3 linked regions of the Nothobranchius furzeri genome follow. The protein of the gene in region 2 binds, or shares a complex with, the protein of the main gene of each other region. Links are inferred from orthologs where the notes say so. Each region holds a gene or a part of one and is shown on either strand. Other genes may lie near its edges.

The links.
Region 1: ints9 (region 2) and ints12 share a complex: the UniProt entries of both Homo sapiens proteins name them as parts of the integrator complex. The link is inferred for Nothobranchius furzeri from reciprocal best matches to the Homo sapiens genes INTS9 and INTS12.
Region 3: the proteins of ints9 (region 2) and brat1 are in contact, whole or in part, in a cryo-EM structure (PDB 8UIB), measured with the Homo sapiens proteins. The link is inferred for Nothobranchius furzeri from reciprocal best matches to the Homo sapiens genes INTS9 and BRAT1. Residues at the interface, in NP_060720.2 of Homo sapiens: Gly276, Met277, Gly279, Glu280, Cys282, Ser283, Asn284, Ala286, Leu287, Arg290, Asn291, Tyr315, Asp317, Ser318, Ala319, Gly320, Ser483, His484; in NP_689956.2 of Homo sapiens: Ala406, Pro407, Cys416, Pro460, Gln506, Lys507, Arg508, Cys510, His511, Pro512, Arg517, Glu545, Leu549, Gln552, Asp556, Pro557.

What each region holds. Positions count from the first base shown.
Region 1 is NC_091746.1:80,673,102-80,680,844, forward strand, and holds ints12 (integrator complex subunit 12), read left to right. Parts: upstream 1-3,123; 5' UTR 3,124-3,250; intron 3,251-3,505; 5' UTR 3,506-3,513; coding exon 3,514-3,669; intron 3,670-4,694; coding exon 4,695-4,844; intron 4,845-5,056; coding exon 5,057-5,238; intron 5,239-5,350; coding exon 5,351-5,510; intron 5,511-5,589; coding exon 5,590-5,739; intron 5,740-6,205; coding exon 6,206-6,760; 3' UTR 6,761-7,112; downstream 7,113-7,743. Other genes in the region: gstcd (glutathione S-transferase C-terminal domain-containing protein), read right to left, coding at 1-311, 2,336-2,749. UniProt on the Homo sapiens protein: Component of the integrator complex, a multiprotein complex that terminates RNA polymerase II (Pol II) transcription in the promoter-proximal region of genes.
Region 2 is NC_091742.1:17,898,084-17,905,760, reverse strand, and holds the start of ints9 (integrator complex subunit 9), read right to left. Parts: upstream 4,247-7,677; 5' UTR 4,118-4,246; coding exon 4,109-4,117; intron 3,840-4,108; coding exon 3,712-3,839; intron 3,637-3,711; coding exon 3,576-3,636; intron 3,493-3,575; coding exon 3,430-3,492; intron 3,249-3,429; coding exon 3,109-3,248; intron 2,683-3,108; coding exon 2,596-2,682; intron 577-2,595; coding exon 456-576; intron 1-455. Other genes in the region: pla2g7 (platelet-activating factor acetylhydrolase), read left to right, coding at 5,037-5,129, 5,338-5,488, 6,582-6,675, 6,752-6,820, 7,573-7,677. UniProt on the Homo sapiens protein: Component of the integrator complex, a multiprotein complex that terminates RNA polymerase II (Pol II) transcription in the promoter-proximal region of genes.
Region 3 is NC_091744.1:16,243,376-16,250,022, reverse strand, and holds part of brat1 (BRCA1-associated ATM activator 1), read right to left. Parts: intron 6,574-6,647; coding exon 6,422-6,573; intron 5,732-6,421; coding exon 5,584-5,731; intron 5,490-5,583; coding exon 5,090-5,489; intron 5,011-5,089; coding exon 4,885-5,010; intron 4,779-4,884; coding exon 4,687-4,778; intron 4,616-4,686; coding exon 4,512-4,615; intron 4,435-4,511; coding exon 4,251-4,434; intron 1,169-4,250; coding exon 1,095-1,168; intron 326-1,094; coding exon 241-325; intron 164-240; coding exon 1-163. UniProt on the Homo sapiens protein: Component of a multiprotein complex required for the assembly of the RNA endonuclease module of the integrator complex.

The sequences.
Region 1 (7,743 bases), on a different chromosome or scaffold from region 2:
GCCGCAGCTGGAGCTGAATCCACAGAAAGTTTGGCCAGGGCCGCCCTGAGCTCAAGACCATCAGAGGTCTGAGACGACGGCCCCAGAGAGGCTTCACAAATCTGCTTCTCCTCGTTTTCTCTCAGCCTCTGCTCCTGTAGTTTCTGTCTCCGTATTTTGTCATCGTTGTGGACTTTGACTGGTTCGGCCAGCCGCTGCTCCAGGGTGAGGATGGAAGGAGGCAGTCGGTTCACCTGGTTTGTGGGATTTAGGAGATGTTCCTCGACAGCAGAGGGGATACCAATTTCACACAGCCTGGTCCACTTGCTCACCTAAAAGCAGGAGAAGGTGAGATGTTTCAGATGAAGTGCAGTACCTTCGTTAGAAGTGCTTACAAATTCGCCCTAAATTCAATTGTTGCTTTTTTTATTTTCAGAATAAACTATTTCAGATCATAAACACTGTTAAATATATCAGGGTTGGAGGACCTAAGGAGTGGAGACACATGCAGCCCTTGGATGTAAGCTGGACAATGTCCTCGCGGCGTTGCCTGTGTTAGTGCGCAAGATGGATGTCATCTTGGAGAGGGTCGCCGGACGGTGTGAGAATGTTTAGAACGTATAATTGGCATCACTGGTGGACATGAATGACCACTTATAGACTCCAAGGCAGAGAGGAAAATTATCTCTGTCTGCCCTAAACAAAGTCTTGTTTATCCTTATCTGACGCCAAGGCTGCCATCAACACACCCCCACGAAAGGAGGAATGCTGACAGATGCTGTGTCCCGACCTCCCCCCCCCCCGCCTTCGGATTGTGACTTCTGCTTCGAGGTCAGCAACCTGCAGGAAACTCAATGTGCTCTCTGTCCCTCATTTCTCCCTCCAACCTGATTGTCTGCAGCTGGCTGAGCGCCGTAATGGCAGCTCCCGTTGGAGGATTCAGGATCCCGCCCAACCCCGCCTCCCCATCGGACTCTGATGTTTTGTATCTGTGATGTTCGTGCTTCTATGTTGAGGAGTTTTTTTTTTTTTTGTATAATAGAGTTACTCCCCGCTGGGTCTAACTCTGCTATGCCTTTTTTTTTTACCTTACCCCAATTATCCTCATGTACCACTTATCTCTATTAAGGTAGCGCGACTCAGGGTTGTGAATGACCACAGTCACCAGTTCTTGTCATGTGTCTTGCCCATGTATGTCTAATCTCTGAATTGTGTGTACTGAAACTCTAATTTCCCTCTGGGATCAATAAAGTATCTTTGATTTGATCTTGATCTTTAACTGCACAGAAACAATAGATCACATTATGGTCCATGCCCTTTACGAAGCTCAGGAAGGGTCTTTCGTTGTTTCTATATGCTTCTGCACTGGTGTGAATGATCTACAGCATTTTATGTCACTGCTGATTAATTAATGTAACTAGTCAGACACTGAAGACCATTTCCAGTGTAAGATGGTACTGATGATTGCTCAAAAGTATATTTTACTTTTCAGGATCTGATCATCATCCTCATGACTCATGATGCTGGCACTCTGCATCCTACCATGAATCAGATTTTAGACATATTTTTAAGTTGCCTCACGCAGTTCTGCAACTTTTATTGCCTGACTTTGTATTGATTTATTCAAACTACAGATATTGAGAATGTGAGCTCCCATCATCACCTTTGAGGGGACACAAAGCCTCTGAACTGCAATAACTGAGAGGTTCGCCTTTAGTTTTTAACTCAATAAGATGCTATTAATGCAATTTTACATTATGATGTAAAAATTGCACCTCCACGTCAGAAATAGACCAATATATTTGTTGGCCGACATATTTTTATAAATCAGCATCAGCTGATACACCCGTTTAGAGGGGCCGATTTAAAAACTGAAACAGCCACAGGCAGTCCAGTGCTGCTGCAGGATTTTATTTAAATGTGCGTGTGTGTTCCTGATCTACTTAATAAATGTTTAAAAACATTCTTCTTAACTGAAGTATTTTTTGTTTACCCGTTTTTATTTAAGACTTGGTCAGTTTATGATTTGTTCGATTACCTTTGGCTAAATGTTTGATTTTAATACGAGCGGTGCAAAAAAAATTAAGATACAAGAGTTGTTTAAATTCAGAGTTCAACAACGGATCCATGTTCAGAAACGTTGTGCATCATGTTTTTGTCAGTGACATCTAAGCATGCAAATAAGGTGGAAAATGTCGAGTTATCGGCCGCGAACATCGGTAGCAAATATCGGCCATCAGCTGACCATGACCCCCATATATCAGCATCAGTATCAGCATCTGAAAACCCCATATCAGTGGATCTCTACACCTGATTTCCCCAGACACCCAAAAGCTGACGCTTGTCTCCCACTGACCTCCGCACAGGCCTTCAAGCAGGTTTTTTTGAAACCCAGCAGCTCCAGAACATCCTTCCTGGAAGGGTCTTCCTCAGTGGTTTTGATGATAATGTGCCTGAGCACCACGGCTAGTCCTGCCCTGCACAGGCGCCCGCTCTCATCCACCGCTGCCGGGAGACGGCAGCTCCTCACCAGCTGGGGCAGATCCTCCAGCTGGACCCAGCTGACACCAACAGGCACTGGGAGCTGGCTCCTGAAAGCGTCCGAGCAGCTACTGGTGTAAACCATGAACACTTTGAAGGACTTGCACTCGCAGTATGATAGGAGAAACATAACTATGGACGTGTGCAGGGGGAGACGCAGCTCCTCGTTCTGGGAACAAACCTCTAAGAAGAGGGAGAGATGTTGCTCTTTTTTCTCGTTGTGCTTCATTGTAAATAAACTAGAAGGACAGTAAAACAATCAGTTAGTTTTATCATTGTTTTAGTGTTCTCTGTTGGTACTTTTACGTCTAGATTACTTAAATTCAACATATGACCCAAGAAAAATGACTTACCTGAAACAGGCGGACCGGTGTGTTTTGGTGATTCTTCTTCTGCTGTTTTTTCACTAGCATAGCTCCACAGCGCCGCCAGCGGTCTTCTCAAACGTTTCAAAACTCTCTTCATGAAAGAGTAACACCTATGTACAAAATATGTACCGCAAAGGAAAACATACGTGGGATGAATACTTATTTTATTATAACCAAAATAGTATAATAACCACGCGAACGCGAATACAAATTTCGCAAAACGTTCCGCCCTTGCAGACTCCGGACATATTTGTCGGTTACTCAAATGTGAAGACGAAACGCCGACGGAAGTGTTGCTCAGTTTTCCGTTGTTCAATAGAAAGAAAATATTCCGGTAAAACAGAAAATACACCCAGTCTCGGGTAAGCCTGTGTTTATGATAATTATGAGCTTCAATTTTAGAATTATAAAGCGACCTCGGTAACTACCGCGGTGCTTCTGTGGTTGTAGTCCGTCTTCCTGTTTTTACTCAGAAACCAAATATTTGCCAATGTTTAAAGTCATTCACAGCAGTTGGATCGGTGGGACTCGGCTTATAGGCGCCGGCAGTTCTTTTTACTTTGATGAAATGATACTAATTCACAGCATTACGTGAATTGTTATTGTTTGATTTCTAGTGGAAGCGATGGCTGGACCTGTCAGTTTGGAGCTGGATCCCATCTTCCTAAAAGGACTGAGTTATCTACATTCCAAGAGCAAAGATTCAGCTGAGAAGCTCAAAGCTCTACTTGATGAGTCCCTTGCTAGAGGCAGCGATTCCTCTTATCGCTCTTCACAAAAAGTAAGATAATTCATTCTCATATACACTCACCTAAAGGATTATTAGGAACACCTGTTCAACTTCTCCTTAATGCAATTATCTAATCAATCAATCACATGGCGGTTGCTTCAGTGCATTTTGGGGTGTGGTCCTGGTCAAGGCAATCTCCTGAACCCCAAATGCCACGGGCTACCTGAGCATTGTTTCTGACCATGTCCATCCCTTCATGACCACCTTGTACCCATCCTCTGGTGGCTAATTCCAGCAGGATAATGCACCGTGTCATAAAGCTCCAGTCATTTCAAACTGGTTTCTTGAACATGACAATGAGTTCACTGTACTACAACGGCCCCCACAGTCACCAGATCTCAACCCGATAGAGCATCTGTGGAACGGGAGCTCCGTGCCCTGGATGTGCATCCCACAAATCTTCCATCAACTGCAAGATGCTATCCTACCAATATGGGCCAAGATTTCTAAAGAATGCTTTCAGCACCTTGTTGAATCAATGCCACGTACAATTAAGACAGTTCTGAAGGCGAAAGGGGGTCAAACACCGTATTAGTGTGGTGTTCTTAATAATCCTTTAGGTGAGTGTAGAGAAATCCCCTTAAAGAGCAAGTCACCCCCTACCAGAGTCTTACTCCACTCCCACTTCCTGTTTGAAAAATGCAACAAATGCTGTTACCTGGCAGACCGAGGGGGTGGAGCCACTAACAAATACACACACAGGCTCACAATGACTTTGTGACATCATAATGTACTTCTTAGACAATAGCAATGGCAGAGTTTTTACCTGAAGACGACGTAACACTGACAGTTTTAGGCAGATTATTTAAATTTATCTAAGATGCACCAAAGTGCCAAGTTATTGACTACAAGTGTCTACAGCATGATTAGACACTCATTTATATAGTTTATCAGCAAGAAAGAAATTTGGGGGGGGGGGGGGGGGGGGGGGGGCTGACTTGCTCTTTAATGTCATTCGTATGACATTGTTTTAAAACCAAGTGCTTGTGCCTTCTGTGTGATTGTTTTGTCCTCAGGAGGTGGAAGTGTCAAAGGCATCCGTGTCAAAGCTGAGTTTAAGTAAAGAGCCCAAGTCTTCAAGTTCTTCTTCTGGCAGCAGCGGTGGAAGTAGTAAATCCAGCTCAGAGAAAGGCAAGAAAGAAGGCGAGAAGAGGTCATCAGAGAAGGTGTGGAAGACATTTTTCCAATTTTTACTAATGATCCCAGTAATCTGTGTCGTGTTGCTGTTCAATTGGGAAGTAAAAGTGCACAAATGAATGAAAAGTGCATATTATATAACTCTAAAGCTTTAAAGCAGAATCCGATTTAAATATGTGATCAGGTGTTTTTTGTTTGTGTGATTTAGTCAAACTTCCTTTTGTATTTTGCTGAAAAACAGGCCAGGGTTGACGTGAGCGAAGTGGACCCCCCCAAAAAGCCTCGTTTAGAGAAACAAGAGAACCGCTCCTCTCCAATCACATTTCAGACGAGCAAAGACCTCCTACCAAACATAAACGACTACGACGAGACAAACGCTGACGACTTTGCCATGGAAATGGGTCTGGCCTGCGTGGTTTGCAGGTACGAGTAGCCAATCGTGTAGATTTGTCAGCATGTTATTCCCTCAAATTAATCAGATCACCATTTTAAGCAGAAATTCAGTCTTTTTTTTTTAAATAATTAATTCTCTCAGACAAATGACGGTGACCATGGGAAACCAGTTGGTGGAGTGCCAAGAGTGTCATAATCTCTACCACCAGGACTGCCACAAACCTCAAGTGACTGATAAGGAAGTGAATGACCCACGGCTTGTGTGGTATTGTGCCCGTTGCACCAGGCAAATGAAACGGATGGTGAGGAAAATCAAGTCACGATCCTGCATCACCTTTTTAATGATGAACTAACTTGTTTGTTTGTTTGTTTGTTGACCAGGCTCAGAAGCCTCCTCAGAAACCATCCCCTGCATCTGCATCTTCAGCACCGGTTGTTAAAGACCCGCTGGTGAAAAAGACAGAGCTGAAGGCTAAAACCGATACAACCAGCACCTTCCAGGCCTTCAAGAGGACAGAGGTGAAGGTGTGTGTGAGTATTTTAATTAAAAATGACATCCTCAGTCTTGTTTCTACTAACCAGTAAGGGGTTTAGAGGTAAGAAAAGCAACAGGAACAGTTCCTTTTCTTTCCTTAATTGTTTAGAAGATTTGTTTCTGCGTTTGGATTCAGACAATATGGCAGTTTTAGTGTCAAATATATTCAATCTTATTAGTTTAAGACCTTTTAGGGATCATTTACCAATTAGAATACATTTGTTTTAAGTTAATAAAATAGAAATTAAAATACTAACCCAAAGTACCGTACCATGAAATCAGTTTTATCACCTTTTAAAAGCCTTTTAGTAACCAGCTATTTCCTGCTATAAAACCACCTTAAAAGAAAGCATTAGTAGAATTTAGTAACCCTAAATATTAGTTATGAATTCAAAAACATTACGTATAAAATTGCAGACTCATTCCTGCTCATTTGGTTTCTCTCTCCCTGATTGGGTGCAGCCACCTGCCACTTTAGCCAACCCCACCAACAGCGGCGCCTCGTCCTCGGGCAGCGGCCTCACAGGCTGGGCCGCGTTTGGAGCCAAAACCAACCCATCCCTTCCTGCTACCTCCAAACTGGCTTCCTCAGGCCCGAGTGGGAGCAGCAAGAGCATGGCAGCTCCCGCTCAGAAACCTGCCGGGCTGCCGGGGCTCACTGGAGCCAAGTCAGGACTCGGTAGTGCAAAAGCTGCTGGGAACAACAACGGAAATGGCTCCAGTCAGGTAACTCTGAAACCTCCTCCACCTTTGACCCTGGGTAAGCAGTCGCTCAACCGTTCATCGAGCGGCGACAACCAGGGGAAAGGCTCTGTGTCAACTGGCGCCGGTTCTCCGGGTAGCTCCCAGACCGGAGGGAACGGAGGAAGCAACGGAGGGGGCAATGGGAACAACGGGAATGGGTCAAAGGCTGCGCCGGCGGACAAAGCGCCGACTTCTCAAGAGTCCCAGCTGAACGCCATGAAACGTTTGCAGCTGGTCAAGAAGAAAGCTGCACAGAAGAAACTTAAGAAATGACCAAATAAGGAGGAGGAAGTGAGCAGACGTAAGAGGAATCGGTGCCAGAAGGCGTCTTCACATGGAGCAGCATCATCCAGTCCAATACTTGAACATTTGTTTTCTTTGTGTAAAGGCTGCTGGACTCTGTGCCTCTTTTCTCCGTACAAGCTTTACCAGTGGAAGAAGTGTCACTTTTATCAATCCTGTCATGAAATCTTCTCTTCTTACACAGAAACCAGCATGTGAGTCGATACATCCCAAAAGAACAGTCACATCACAAAAGTTGAGTTTATTGATGATGTAACCGATAGACATTTGTCAGGATAAATACAGAATAAACGTATGTTTTTATAGAAAACTTTTATATAAATCTTCTCATATTTGTAATCACACTTATAAAATCTCTATGAATCAGTTCACATATTAGATTATCTTCATGATTGCATCACTTCATTGATATAAACAACACTGAAGTACAAAAAGTGCTCAGGAAAGTGCACTGGCATTTGAGACGAGGGTTATTTCACCTACATTCATACCAAATCATTGGAAACATCCATGTAAAAACTAAACAGCTTCTCAATCGACATGAGACCATATAATAACATTAGGAGAAGGTCAGTTTTATGTTCACAAACCAAGTGTTGTAATGAAAGGCACGTTTTAATCCTGAAAGTAGGGCTGGACAATAATTCGATAATGAAATATATAGATCGATAGACGTACGGCGCGATGAGAAAAAAATTGGTCAATTAAAAGTTTCCTTTCTTTTTTTATTATAGCCTATCAGGTAGCGTCGAACTAGAGTCAGTACTTACTCCCAACCAATCAAAACACAGACCCAGGCACGCTCGTCACCAAGCCCCGCCCCTCTCAAACCAAACAGACAGCAAGTTTACAGTACTCCACTACCACGGCAATAATTTGGTTTTTACAAGTCTGAAAACAAAGACACCATGGTCAATAGAAAAATCTGCAGAGAATCGATTAAAAATCCTGTT
Region 2 (7,677 bases):
TCTAGTCCACACACGGCTTTAGGGGAGCAGGAATTTGATCTGAACTTTGTAACAGAAATGATGACCGAGCTGCCTGCAACACTAGTTTGTACTCTAAAACAACCATTCTCTACCAATTTAAATCATGTACAGACAAAACACAAGCATGACTAGAAAGCTCAAAATGTTCTTCCTTTGTATTTTGTGCTGTTCAAAACAGATGCTGCCCCCTAGTGGTGCTGTGTGGGTCCCACAATGATGAGGACGGTTGGTTCTATCTGAGCAAAAACATGAGCAGTGTGGCTACAGCCTCACATACAAATCTGTATCAATGTCCAGAGAAATGGTGCCAGTACACACACACACACACACACACACACACACACACACACACACACACACACACACACACACACACACACACACACACACACACACACACACACACACACACACACACACACACCCCTACTCACCACTTTCTGAGAATAACCGACAAGCTGCACTTTGCTGAGAGCTGAGTTGACCTCATGCATGCTGTAGCATCGTTTCCACGTCCACACGTCAACAGCTTCCTTCAGCGGCCCAGGAAGAACCCTGATGATGCAGGAGCAGCGTTAGAACCCTGATGATGCAGGAGCAGCGTTAGAACCCTGATGATGCAGGAGCAGCGTTAGAACCCTGATGATGCAGGAGCAGCGTTAGAACCCTGATGATGCAGGAGCAGCGTTAGAACCCTGATGATGCAGGAGCAGCGTTAGAACCCTGATGATGCAGGAGCAGCGTTAGAACCCTGATGATGCAGGAGCAGCGTTAGAACCCTGATGATGCAGGAGCAGCGTTAGAACCCTGATGATGCAGGAGCAGCGTTAGAACCCTGATGATGCAGGAGCAGCGTTAGAACCCTGATGATGCAGGAGCAGCGTTAGAACCCTGATGATGCAGGAGCAGCGTTAGAACCCTGATGATGCAGGAGCAGCGTTAGAACCCTGATGATGCAGGAGCAGCGTTAGAACCCTGATGATGCAGGAGCAGCGTTAGAACCCTGATGATGCAGGAGCAGCGTTAGAACCCTGATGATGCAGGAGCATCAGTAGAACCCTGATGATGCAGGAGCAGCGTTAGAACCCTGATGATGCAGGAGCATCAGTAGAACCCTGATGATGCAGGAGCAGCGTTAGAACCCTGATGATGCAGGAGCAGCGTTAGAACCCTGATGATGCAGGAGCAGCGTTAGAACCCTGATGATGCAGGAGCAGCGTTAGAACCCTGATGATGCAGGAGCAGCGTTAGAACCCTGATGATGCAGGAGCAGCGTTAGAACCCTGATGATGCAGGAGCAGCGTTAGAACCCTGATGATGCAGGAGCAGCGTTAGAACCCTGATGATGCAGGAGCAGCGTTAGAACCCTGATGATGCAGGAGCAGCGTTAGAACCCTGATGATGCAGGAGCAGCGTTAGAACCCTGATGATGCAGGAGCAGCGTTAGAACCCTGATGATGCAGGAGCAGCGTTAGAACCCTGATGATGCAGGAGCAGCGTTAGAACCCTGATGATGCAGGAGCATCAGTAGAACCCTGATGATGCAGGAGCACCTTTCTATCACAATAACTTGCGTTTGTGTTGTGATTGGTTTATTTTCTACTGCAGTTGAAGTGAACAGATAAAAATATAAAGATGGTATAAATAAACACACGTGACCCTGCCTCTCAGGGGTAACAGCAGGAAGGGATGAGCGTGTCAGTGATCTGATCCTGACTCAAAGTCAACCTCAAGTCTTTCTGGAAGAGATACAATATTCTGTCCAGGATGTCACAGCACTCGTTCTCTGAGGAACCTTTAAAGTTTTCTCTGTGAGTCGGTCTGAAGAGTTAATCAGCCGACAACCTAATATCACCTAAACAAGCTTCTGTCTGTCTCTAGAAACCAGTCTGATTAGACTTTTAACCAAACTGGAACTTAACTGGACTGGAATTAATGAAAAACAAATTATCTTAAATCAGATGGAAGCTTTAGTCTTTTGGACTAATGTGAATTTCTGCCTTTGAACCACTTCAGACCCTTTGGTACAAAACTACTAAATCTGTTCATTAAATTATAGTTTTATTTGTTTTCTGAGGTTTTTGTACTCTTTACTGTAAGAGTCAGAGGTCTAGGTCTTTTTCATCTCTGAGTACTGTTCCAATAATTCCACAAACATCCTTGTGTCAAAGCTGTGACTCCAGCCCAGCAATGTTTTTATTAATTAGTTAGTAGAAAATCGATTTTGCTTTAAAAGTACCAAGATGACCCAAAATACAAGGAGCTCAAATAATCCCACTCCTAACTCTTAGGTACAAATTATATTCAGAAGTCAAATAGATTCATGAATAAATTAACTAATCATGTTCTGTCAGATGGTATCCAGAGGCTGATGTCATGTATTTATTAGTTTGCTTGTTGGCAGGTGGATTTTTACACACGTATTTTCGTATGTTAGTAATTTTTGACTCTATGATCGAAGACATTAAGCAAGACAATGGTTACAAACTCGGGCTGTGAAAACATTTTAGTCCTATTTTCCTGTTATTATCTGCCTTTAATAAATCAAATAAAATGAATCCCAGCTGCTCCCACCTCTGCAGGTCCTTGTTCTTCCAGCAGGTAGCAGACTGGGCTTTAGGAACTCTCTCCATGAAGTTTACCAGCTCCTCCATCAGCAGCCTGAGGAAGCAAGAGCCATCAGGAAATAGGAGATTGAATGTTGCTTCTGTTAGAGCCCAAACCCAACACATTAAAAAGAATCTAATATAATTTATATGTCTGATATATTGGTGTCTTAAGTCACAACAAAGCCGCCCCCCCCCCCGCCCCCCCTAAACACCTGGTCTGAATGCATCTCAGCTCCTCAGATTTACAGAATAGAGCAACCTTTGACGAAGCACCTCCCAAAACACGCCTCGCAGTTATTCTGCATCTTATAAAAAAACAATAACAATCTGTAATTAAATGTTAAGCCTGGAAAACCAAGTTTTACACAGATAGCTAATCAAATATTTTTCAATCCAAGCAACAAAACCTCTTGAGGGGTTTTGATAAGAATTTGGGTTTGTAGCTGAGATTTTTTACAAAAGCATAAAAAATGTTTACCTGCCAATCTGCAGGGTGGGCTCGGTGGCATACACCGTTCCTGTGAAGCCCGTGTGTTCAGTGATGTAGGGCAGCGCCATCATACAGTGGTAGTTGGAGATGAGAATCACATCAATGGTTGACAGGTCCAGCAGTTCTCTCTGTGATTAGTATTAGTAGGGCAGACCTCAGGTGTAGTTCTGTTCATCACAATCTGTTCCTACTGTCACTGATTACATTTACAAACAGCAGAGAAGTAAGATAACTGTAACTCTCCCACTTTGTTTATCTAGATTAGGAAAATATGCCTGTTTTATCACAACAGTAATCTGGTTCAACTACCTCTGGGAGGCAGAACTCTGGCTGGGAGTCCACGAACACCCTTCCAGCACACTCCTTCAGCTCCTGTAGAGACAAACATCGTATTTGCATTTCATTTGCATGGCTACATCTTATGCTGGAGGGAAAATATTCTCAACTAAATGTACCTTTTCCAGATTTACCGTTCCATCTTTTGAGGTCCAGCCTGTGAGCTTGGAGAGCCTTGGGCTGATGTTTTAGAAGATAAAATCATCATGAGTCTTTACCTAACGCCATTCACACATATGGACGATGGTATCTCACCTGTGTACCAGAGGAAGGGGAAGAAAATTGAGGACTGAGGTCGTGTCCAGTCCACAGTCCAGCATGATGGTGGTGGACTTAAACTTGAGGACATTGCAAGGCAATGTGGGGTGACCAGACAAACAATACTGCAAAAGAATAAACACCGAGAGCACCTTTATGAAACAAACACAGATCATCAAAATAATATTTTAATTTGTACTTTCATTTGATCCTAACTGCAAACAAAACTTATTTCATTAAGTAGTCGTGCTGCTAGCAGCTCCACTATAACCACAGGCTGGTTTTAGCTAGCTAGCAAACACGGTTATCTGGATGCTTTCTGTTTTTAGAACTTCTAACAAACTTGGTTCGCACACGCATAATATGCCTCATAAAATCCGAGCTCTCTACTCACCAACTTCATTTTAACTTAATGACGAAGTAATAAATGTGTCCAAAACAGCCGGCTTTGCTAACACGCCATCATTTTGGTTTGTTGATGCTCGGCTGTTTTCCTGAGAGATTTCTCTCTGCTGCCCTCTCCCGACTCGGAGGACAACCTTCCTCTCGTCGAAATGGCTATGCTAATGGATTAAATTAGCCAGTTCACGTAAATGTGTTCACAAATATAGTATACGTGTTTATAACGGTTGTGTAGGACATAAAGTGACTCGCATATTGATAAAAATAGTAAAGAACAATATGAGCTGACTGCTAGAGGTTAACAAATAGGAGAAGGCGGAAGGGTCACGTGGTCTTGTTTCGCTGTCAGCCACAAACAGGTTTAAACGCTGTGAGTCACACGGGTGCAGGTTTATTATTGGGTTTCTGAGGAATGTCATTCTGATGACACATCTCTGATGTAGCAACACGACCGCCCATCGCACGTCTGTACTTCCGGTAGACCTGGTTTTAAGTTGTTGTTATTCCAACATGTTTCCGTAGCTAACAGCATCGACACGCCGGGTCGACAGTCTGAGTGGACAAGGAGGACAGGTGGGTAACATCAGTCACTGGTTTTACTAGTTAATTAAAACATCTGCTAATGTTGAGTAAACAAGAAAAGTTAAGGGGCAGTTTGACATTCGTCTTTAAAAAGTTTAAGAAAATCTCTGTTGATCTGAAACAGTTTAGACCGTGAGTGTGTTGTGACCTTTGGTCATAATGCTGATAATACATAACAGGACGTCATTTTCCAGTAAGGTCATGTCATGCTGCGTTTTCTAATGAGGTGTGTGTGTGTGTGTGTGTGTGTGTGTGTGTGTGTGTGTGTGTGTGTGTGTGTGTGTGTGTGTGTGTGTGTGTGTGTGTGAGCACAAACATACACACCAGGCTCGCTGGCCATGGGGAACTCTTGCACTCATCTAGGGATCCCTCCTGCTAAGGGTCCCAACGCTGTGGGATGCACAGACTTCATGATGGATCACACTGCAAAGGTGAGATGAGAAAACACGCCCACACCTGACTAATCTGTGTAGGTGTCAGATTTGCTTAGGCAAACTGGTCTCTATTCGTTTTTCTACTGAATTGCATTTTACTTTGTTATTTTACTTTCACCTGGCTGTCTGGAAAAGAATCATGATCGAGATATTTAGGCTGAGATGTTCAGAGGTGTGTGTGCGTGTGTGTGTGTGTTGCCAACAGGGCAGCTTCTTCAGACTTTACTATCCGTGCCAGGAGACAGAAAAGGCAGAGAAACCTGACTGGGTCCCGTGTAGAGAGTATTTTAACGGCCTGGCAGACTTCATGAAGATCAACAGGAGTCTCAGTAAAGGGATTTTCGACCACCTCTTTGGTGAGTAAACCGCCTCTGAAATACGCAACAGAATCCAACACGTTTTTATTTCATTTGCATTTCATCTAGTTCTCACCTGACTATTCTTCATTGACACTAAACCAATAGAATGACCTTTACAGAGATATTTAAAGCAAATTCAAATAGATCCGCTTCTCTGCTGCTGTTTAAACGTGAGCAGCGCTTACTGAGGTCAGCATTCATCTCCTTACAAATTTCTTTTTTTTTTTTTTGTAAAACTCAAATATTTATCACCAGCTGAGTGAGGAGGAAGGTGGATTCTCTGAAAAGGGCTATATAAATCTAATCCATCATTATAAATGGTGGTAATACACCAAGCCCTGTTCTAGAGAGATGCAGGAACTAATGAACCCAGAATGTCTAAAGCAGAGGTACGGGTGAGAGTAAATGCTTCTGAGACCAAAACTTCTGCTGAGCAAATCAAACCTCAAAGACCATCTCACATTTACCAACAACATCTTGATAATCCCAAAGACCTCTGAGAGAAAATGTTCGATGAGAAAAGTGTTCTGGAAGGCGTGTGCACCATACACGGTGGTGGTAGTGGGATGGTCTGGGGCTGCTCCAGGACCACCTGCTGCGACTGACGGAACCCTGAATTCTGTTGTAGCAGAGCGTTCTGAAGGAGAACATTTGACCTTTTGACCTTAAACAAGACGTTCCTGCTGGAAAACCCCCTGTGGCTGAATTCAGACAATCCAGTAAAGAAGAGAGGGACCACATTCCTCCACTGGATGCGAGACCAGTTTGACAGGTTAGAGGTCAGTTACTCTGAAATATGACAAGAAAAAGAAATCTGTAAGGAGGTAAATACGTTTTCACAGCACAGCAAACATGTCTGACCACAACAGCTCTCAGGACAGACCAAGCTGATGTTCTCCTCGTGCCTCTGCCACACACATTAGGATAGTAAGCTGTACTTTACACTCTTCAGCTCCTGACTCTGCAGCAATAATGTAACACTTGAGACGGGAAGAAAGCAGAAGTGGTTTGTTTCATTTGTGCAAGGTCATTTTCACACATCATTCTTGTTGTTCAGAAGGGTAACGTGAAGGTTTCTGGTTTATTTCAGGTTCTTTTAAGATCCCAGCCTACATGGACGCTCCATTCAAGTCGAATGAAAAGTGCCCTGTGGTCATTTTCTCCCATGGCCTTGGTGCCTTCAGGTACACGCTAGTTTCCCCCCTGCTGTCACATCGACTCATTACTGACACTAAAACCAGCTTTATTTGTGTTACTTAGGACTTTGTACTCGGCGATATGTGCAGAACTGGCTTCACGTGGATTTATTGTGGCATCAGTAGAACACAGGTGGGATTTTCTTTTTGTTTTTAATTATTTCAGAAATAAAAATGTAAACTAATCTGTTCTTTTTGTGCACATATTTGGATGAAACGCTAGTGGAGCAGAACCAAACGGGAACTGTAAAACTAAAAAAAATGTCATTTTGAGGGAATTCGAGCTCAAAGTTAGCCAATCAAGCCATGACAAAAGGTTAGTCTCCTCTGCGAGTGACAGTGTTAATCCGTGGAGTAGGAGTGGAAAGGGTGTGCAGACAATGGTACAAACCAGGTCATCACATTTCTTTTCAGTATAGAGACAAGAGGAACGTATGGAGATGAAGAGAATAGCCACGGCTGGTCTGTCGTTGGTCACACAGACCGAGGCGTATGAGAGTCATGTTACTCTCGTCTCTGTCATCAGACAGACCATGTTGCTGTGGTGATGTTCTTGTATTCCACCAGAACCATTGGGTTTTCATTGGACCTTTGGGAACAAGTCTGAACACGGCGACCTCCACAGTCTGGCATAGGTGCAGATTGTTAGTGATTTCTTTGCATTCGTGTGAAACAGGATGTTTCAGTAGAACGTGCTAAAACCAGCGCTCTGGTTTCATAAAGGAAGTAGTTTCCAACACACTTACTTATTTTCCTCGCAAATGCATTAATTTCCACTCTAGATCAGAATCTCCTTGATAGTAATTACAAGAGCCGAGTCCACCACCAGTTTGGGCTTTTCTTCCATGCTGACACAGAATTTTTGTCATCTTCTCCTCTTCTCAGAGACCAGTCTGCCTCAGCGACGTATTATTTTAGTGAGAAACCAGCATCAGAAAGAGCCAAAGGCAATTCTCCAAAAACATCTGCCTCGGCTCCAGAGGACTTATT
Region 3 (6,647 bases), on a different chromosome or scaffold from region 2:
TCCTGCAGTGCCTCCTTGAGGAGAGAAACGGTAAAGCAGCGGTCGCCCAGCAGAACCTCAGACGTGTCACACAGCCCTGCTAGGTGTCCCAGAAACTCCACGGTCGAGTCTCTCACCTCCCAACGCACATCACACACACGCTTTCCCACCACCTGGATGAGATCTAACACGGACGAGCGTTACGCCACTTCTGTCCACATGTGGATCCAGAACTCAGAGCTGCAGCAAAGAGGGGCATACCTTTTCTGAGCTGGTCTGTTATCGAGGAGAGATCCGCACACGCACTAATCCACTTCATCAGAGTTCGGTACGACTTCTGGAGGACCTGAAAAACACCCGTCCACACGCACACAGTTATAAATACTCTAGTCACAGCAGACATTTTTATGTCCACCAACCTTTCTTTCAACATTTCTTTATTTCTTCTTGAAATTATATCTCATTTGACCTTGTATCAGTTTCTGAGGCAACCATTTTTGTGCAAAAACTGCAAAAAACACCAGCCTCTCCCAAGTGTGTGTGTGTGTGTGTGTGTGTGTGTGTGTGTGTGTGTGTGTGTGTGTGCGTGTGTTGTGTTGTGTGTGTGTGTTTTGGGTTTAAGTGTGGGGAATCTGGCTGCTCTACAAAGGCAATGAAGCCCTTTAACATGAACAAAGTACACAAACAGTTCAAAAGGCATCAGATTTACAATTAAAACAATAAAACAAGACACACTATTTAATGAAATGTCAGAATCATTTGTAAAATATGGTGTTTAAATAAAAAATTATACCCATTTCGTGTTTTCTTTTGTATTCATTGGATAAATTCTGTATTTTTGTCATCTTTTTGTTGTTTTGCATTTAAATACTCCCCTATGTTGTACTGGAAGGTAAAAACAAAGCATACAGTAGAAAAACACAGAGTTACATACTGAGAAATTAGTTAAATTGATGCAAAGGAAGTACAGAAAATCCTCTACATCCAGCAACAGTACTGCTCAACGTTTGGAGCCAGCGTGAATCTAAAAGCAGATTTAAAGTGGTGAAGTTGATCATCTACTCTAAAAAATGGAAGACATGGATTTTGGTGATCAAACACACACAAGAACTTACAGTGGGCTCAGAAGCAGGACTGTTCAGATACTGCATGAGAAGTGTGAACACCTCCGCCAGCAGGACTTTCCCTCCTGAGACAAAAACAAGATAAAATCAGAGCCACTTTTGTACAAAAATCTACATTTATGCCCCCCCAAAGCAATAAGTCTAGTTGTTTTAACAGGATTACCACGCCCTGGATGACTTTAAATGAGCCGGATTAAATTATTTTGCTCCCAAACTCAGGAGGGTCTATTTCATACACATTGTTTTAAAGACAGTTTACTCAATAAGATGGAAAAATGCACAACATTTGTTTGAATTTAGGTTAATTATTTATTATACTAGAATCAATCAAAAATGCATAGGATTATTTTAGGATAAGAAATATATCCAGTGAATATTTTACATCGCTCAGAGGTTAGTTTAAATCATAAGCAGACACTAACTAGTTGATCTTGGTTGATTGGTCACATGGACAAACATGGACTACCATGCTGCAGGGGGGCAGTCTAATGGAAGCAGGGAAGAGTGGGTCCAAGCAGCTAGTCAGCGCTTTGATTGGCCGCTGCTATTCATCCCCGTCTTCGGTCTTCATCAAAGTAATTTAAAGGGATACTCTACCCAAAAGTTACATTTTGTCTGTTGACATATTTTCCAGCGTTAGAAAAGTGGGAAAAAAACATTTTCAACCAGCCCAGTTATTGTCCTGACCCAGCTGTACTTCTTTAGCTTAGCATAAAACACTGTAAGCGAATGGGACCAACTATCATTGTGAGGAAAAAAAGTCTGTTCAAATCACTCAGTAGTGATACAAATTGTATTGAGCGGCCTAAATAATCATCAATCAATCAGATTTATTTATATAGCACCTACCACCACCTTATCAGAGGCCCAAGGTGCTGAACTGCACATAAAAACAACATAGTAGATAAAAGAGAGAAAAAATTATTAAAAAAATAGAAAAGTACAAGTAAAAGTAATTAAAAACCATACAGTACAAAAGGTGAAAATACGAAAGCCAGGGTCAACGATGCTGGGGAAAGCTAGTAGATAAAAGAGAGATTTCAGGAGAGACTAACTCCTGTAGAGAAGGAGCTTGCTTCACTGCCAGAGGGAGCTCATTCCAGACTGTAGGGGTCATTACTGAGAAGACCCGGTGTCGGTGCAGGATCTGCTCGGGTGCAGGATCGGCTCGGGGTCCTTCGACTGCCGATGACGTCACATTACTGCAACTCTACTCGGCTTTCACACACACGTTTTGGAAAGACATCAGCAGTTTTGTTAATAAATTCTTGTTTGTTAACATCTAAATGTTTTCTTTATAATTGTAATTTGTTGATAAAACACCATATTATCTTTGTTTTGTAAAGAATGTGAAACTGCATAAAACCAACATCGGACTGACAAACAAACAGTTCTTATATGTGAAGCCACGTCTGTTTGTATTAACGTGGAGTTCATCTGTATAATTCCTTAGTTGTTATCTAAATACATTCTTTGACTCAAAATGTTGCTTGGTGTCTTTCAATAAAGTTCTTATGTTTTATTTTGCCCCCTTTCATCAACATCAAGAGCTTTTGAGGGTCACCGTTTATCATTTGCTTATATTTTACATTTACTTTAGAAATTCAAACATATTTTCTCCAAAAAGTGTTGATTTTTGGACTACAGGACTACAACCGCTAAGACTACGGCCACAAATTTGTTCTGACCAATCAAAATCATGATGTGATAACGTAACTTCCGTAAGCTTCATGTTCAGCCAATCAACTACTTTGACGTCATTGGCAGTCGAAGGACCCCGAGCCGATCCTGCACCGACACCGGTCCCCTTGATCTGAGTTTAGAGCGGGGGACTTCCAGCCACTCCTGCTCAGCAGAGCGAAGAGCCCGAGTGGGGACACGCCGCTGCAACAGTTCAGCAAGATATGGGGGAGCACTGCCCTGCAGCACCCTGATCACATAGAGGAGAATCTTAAATCTTGCCCCGGTAGCCAGTGCTTAGAAGCTACCACTGGCATGATGTAGTCTCTCCTTCTGGTCCCAGTCACAAATCTCGCAGCGGAGTTTTGGACTAGCGGGAGTCGTGCAGTAGTAGCTTGACTCAGTCCAGCATACAATGCATTACAGTAGTCGATGTGGGCATGATAAAAGCATGTTCTGCTGTTTCCAGATGTACTCTGGACAGGAGAGGCTTTGTCTTGGACAGCCGTCTCAGATTAAAAAAACATGCTCGAACAACCATGTTTATTTGTGCATCAAATCAAAGGGGTGCATCAATTTTCACCCCTAAATTAGTGACCACATTCTTCTGACATTGTGTCATGGAATCAAGATCAATCTCATCACCTGCTCCAGCTCTCTCACCAGGGCCGGGTATTATTACACCAGTTTTAGAATCATTTAGGAAGAGGAAGTTAGTCGCCATCCATGACTTAACTTAACTGCATGTTGAAATAAAATGAACACAAAGGAATTCCAGGCGTTATTTCAGACTTGGGACTACTTAATGATAGAGTTCATTTATAAGCTTTCGCCAATAGGCGCAAGGACATGGGTTGGCGTGACACTGCTAAATGCTGGTACATTTTCTCGAATTACAAACATAATGTGTTATGGAAGTAGGTGTCTTTAGAGCCACTGCGTGATGTTCTTATAAATTTTCACTTTTGAGTGGAATATCCCTTTAAAGAGGGACAATATGGGTTTACGTCCTTGTCTTGATAATGCAGCCAACTTTGCAGCAAACTGTTGATGATGAAAGGCTACAAACTAGCTTGTTTAGGCTAGCTTCACAGGAGTTTCAACATGCCTACAAAGTTTCTCTGCTGTTCGTGAGAGACGTGATGTCACGTGCAAAGGGTCAATAGCAGCCAAAGTGGGGGGGGGGGGGGCGTGGCCAGCTCCAGCTTGTTTTCTTAAAGTGACAGAGCCCTGAAACTGCTCATTCTGGAAGGTACTGAAACTGTCAAGAACTGCTGAAACTGCTTTATGTGAGTGATTTTATACTTCTTCAACATGATTTGTATTGACCAAAGTATTAATACAACTTAAGAAAAAAGTCAAAATATGTCCCCTTTAAAATTTGTAACCAGCTTGAAGCAGAAACAGTTTAAAGTTACAGAAGATTTGTTTGGACCTGAACATTTGGACATTGTCCCGTTGTCGTACCTGAGCTGTTGCTGAGGACCGACAGAACATCAAGAGCACATTTCTGAACTTTTCCGCTGCCTATAAGGTTCCTGCCAGCTTCAGCACAGCCACTGGACGAGGAGCCGTCTCCATTGCAGAGCCTCAATAATGACAAAACTGCAGATACAATTAAAACTGGTGGACAGGGGAGGCAGTCGGGATCCTGAGGAGGAGAGACAGAAAAACCTAAGAGACTTTTCTAAGAATTAGATGGCCTCACTATCTGGTCCTTCAACTCACCATGAGTGTGATCTGTGGAGTGTTTGCTAGACTGGCACAAATCATGGAGATGCAGGAAGATTTACTCTTGAGATACTCCATCATTGGAAGGCGAAGCTTGTCTGCTGCAGTAACAATTGGGAAGAATTCATGAAGTATATTTCGGTCTTAAAATGCACACACCTGTAAGGGTTACCTGTGCTGTTTTGTCCCAACAGACTGAGTCCAGTAATGATGTCAAGAGGAAGCAGCAGAACTCTAGCAGCTTGAGCTTTATGGACACAGTCACTGGGGGAGAACGATACATGTCACTATCACCTTTAAACACTAATGGTTTCTACTGGTGAACCAACAGCTCAGTGCAGAAGGTCAAGCTGTGCTGTGTGAAGCTTACTCATGCCCGCTGCGGAGAAAAGCAGCTGCAGTGTAAGAGAGGTCCGCAGGTTTCCCCGTGTTCAACATGATGGACAAAAGGCGATCAACACGCTGGTTCAAGGCATGATGCTCACTTTTACTGCTGCTGAGACAAGCAGAAGGAGGTGAAAACGCTGAAGCATTGTGCATGAAGTCACACATTAAGCATGCAGAGAGAGGCACACCTGTGTGCAGCCTGAACAACATCCATCAGAGACCGAGTGAGCTGGCTGCAGTTGGTCGTCACCAGTTCCTCCAGAGAGTCTGAGACCGTCAGCAGCAGTCGGTCCCTCAGATCTGGCCCGGCCCGGCTCAGGAGCAGGGCGAGCACTTTGAGAGCCTGATGACTCTGAAACAGTGCTGAAGTTCCGTCGAGAACTAGTGACTTCTTGAGATACTCGCAAAGCTTCACGGTAACAGTGCTGTAATTCTGTTTGGTTTCCACGGGAACAGTCAGGTGTTTTGAGTTGTTTTGGGAGTTTTCAGACTGACAGAAGAGCAAGATGTGAGCGAGCATGTGATTAGCAGCCGAAGCAACAAATAGGCTTGTGTCTGTGTGAAGGTGTAGGAGTGGTTCAATCAAATCTGAAGAAGGAAAACATGGAGATGTAAATTACTTAATAAAAAGAGAAAAATCTCTATCTGAAATTTAAACATCTGCTCAGAGAGTGATCAGTACCTGCTTGCACAAAGAAGCCAAGAGCTTTTGAATGCTGCAGCATCGTCCTTAAGCCTTGGATCCAACCTATCCGTATACAAGGATCCTTCCAGAGCCCAGCCTCCTGCCAGCGTTGAGGGTCAAACACCAGGTCACACAAAGAGTGCTCCTAAAACAGAGAGGCTCCATCACAGGCAGCTTAACACCGTTTAGTAACTTTTAGTTTGAGAATAACTTTTTGCTTTCCTTGACATTGAATGTGCTACTACTAGTTTATCCGTTTAATTATAGATCCACTAGGACAAATACAATAAAGTTTATCTTTCACCAAATAGAATATTTACTAAGACATCACAATATAACTATAGACACACTACTTGGTGTGTGTGTGTGTGTGTGTGTGTGTGTGTGTGTGTGTGTGTGTGTGTGTGTGTGTGTGTGTGTGTGTGTGTGTGTGTGTGTGTGTGTGTGTGTGTGTGTGTGTGTGTGTGTGTGTGTGTGTGTGTGTGTGTGTGCCTGCTCTGTCTTCTCGATCCCCAGTGAGTCGTGGAGGATGGCTGCTTATACTGAGCCAGGATTCTCTGGAGGTTTCTTCCTGTTAAAAGGGAGTTTTCCTCTCCACTGTCGCTTTATGCTTGCTTAGTATGAGGATTGCTGTAAAGTCACTAACACTAGTCAGTGACTTGATGCAATTTGCTGGGTTCCTTATGTATGAAAAATTATTTCTGATTGGCTTAATGAACTGACCTGACCAGGTTTATTATGTGAAGTGCCTTGAGACGACTCTTGTCGTCATTTGGCGCTATATAAATAAACTTGAATTGAATTGAATAGTGATTACAGGAGTTACGAGACTTACCTGAAGAACTTTAAAGCCATTCTCAGTAGCTGAGATTAGGCCGGTGAGTTTCAGCGTGAAGGAGAGGATGCTGGCATCTGAGGCAGGGCTGTTGTTAACTACGGTCGGTATGAAATCAAGCAGACAGGGGAAGGCCTCCAGCAGAGAGACTCCTTCATCAGGTGACATTACAAAACAAAAAGGTGTCACTTAGACACTTAGCTGTGGAAAACTAGATCTGAAAACA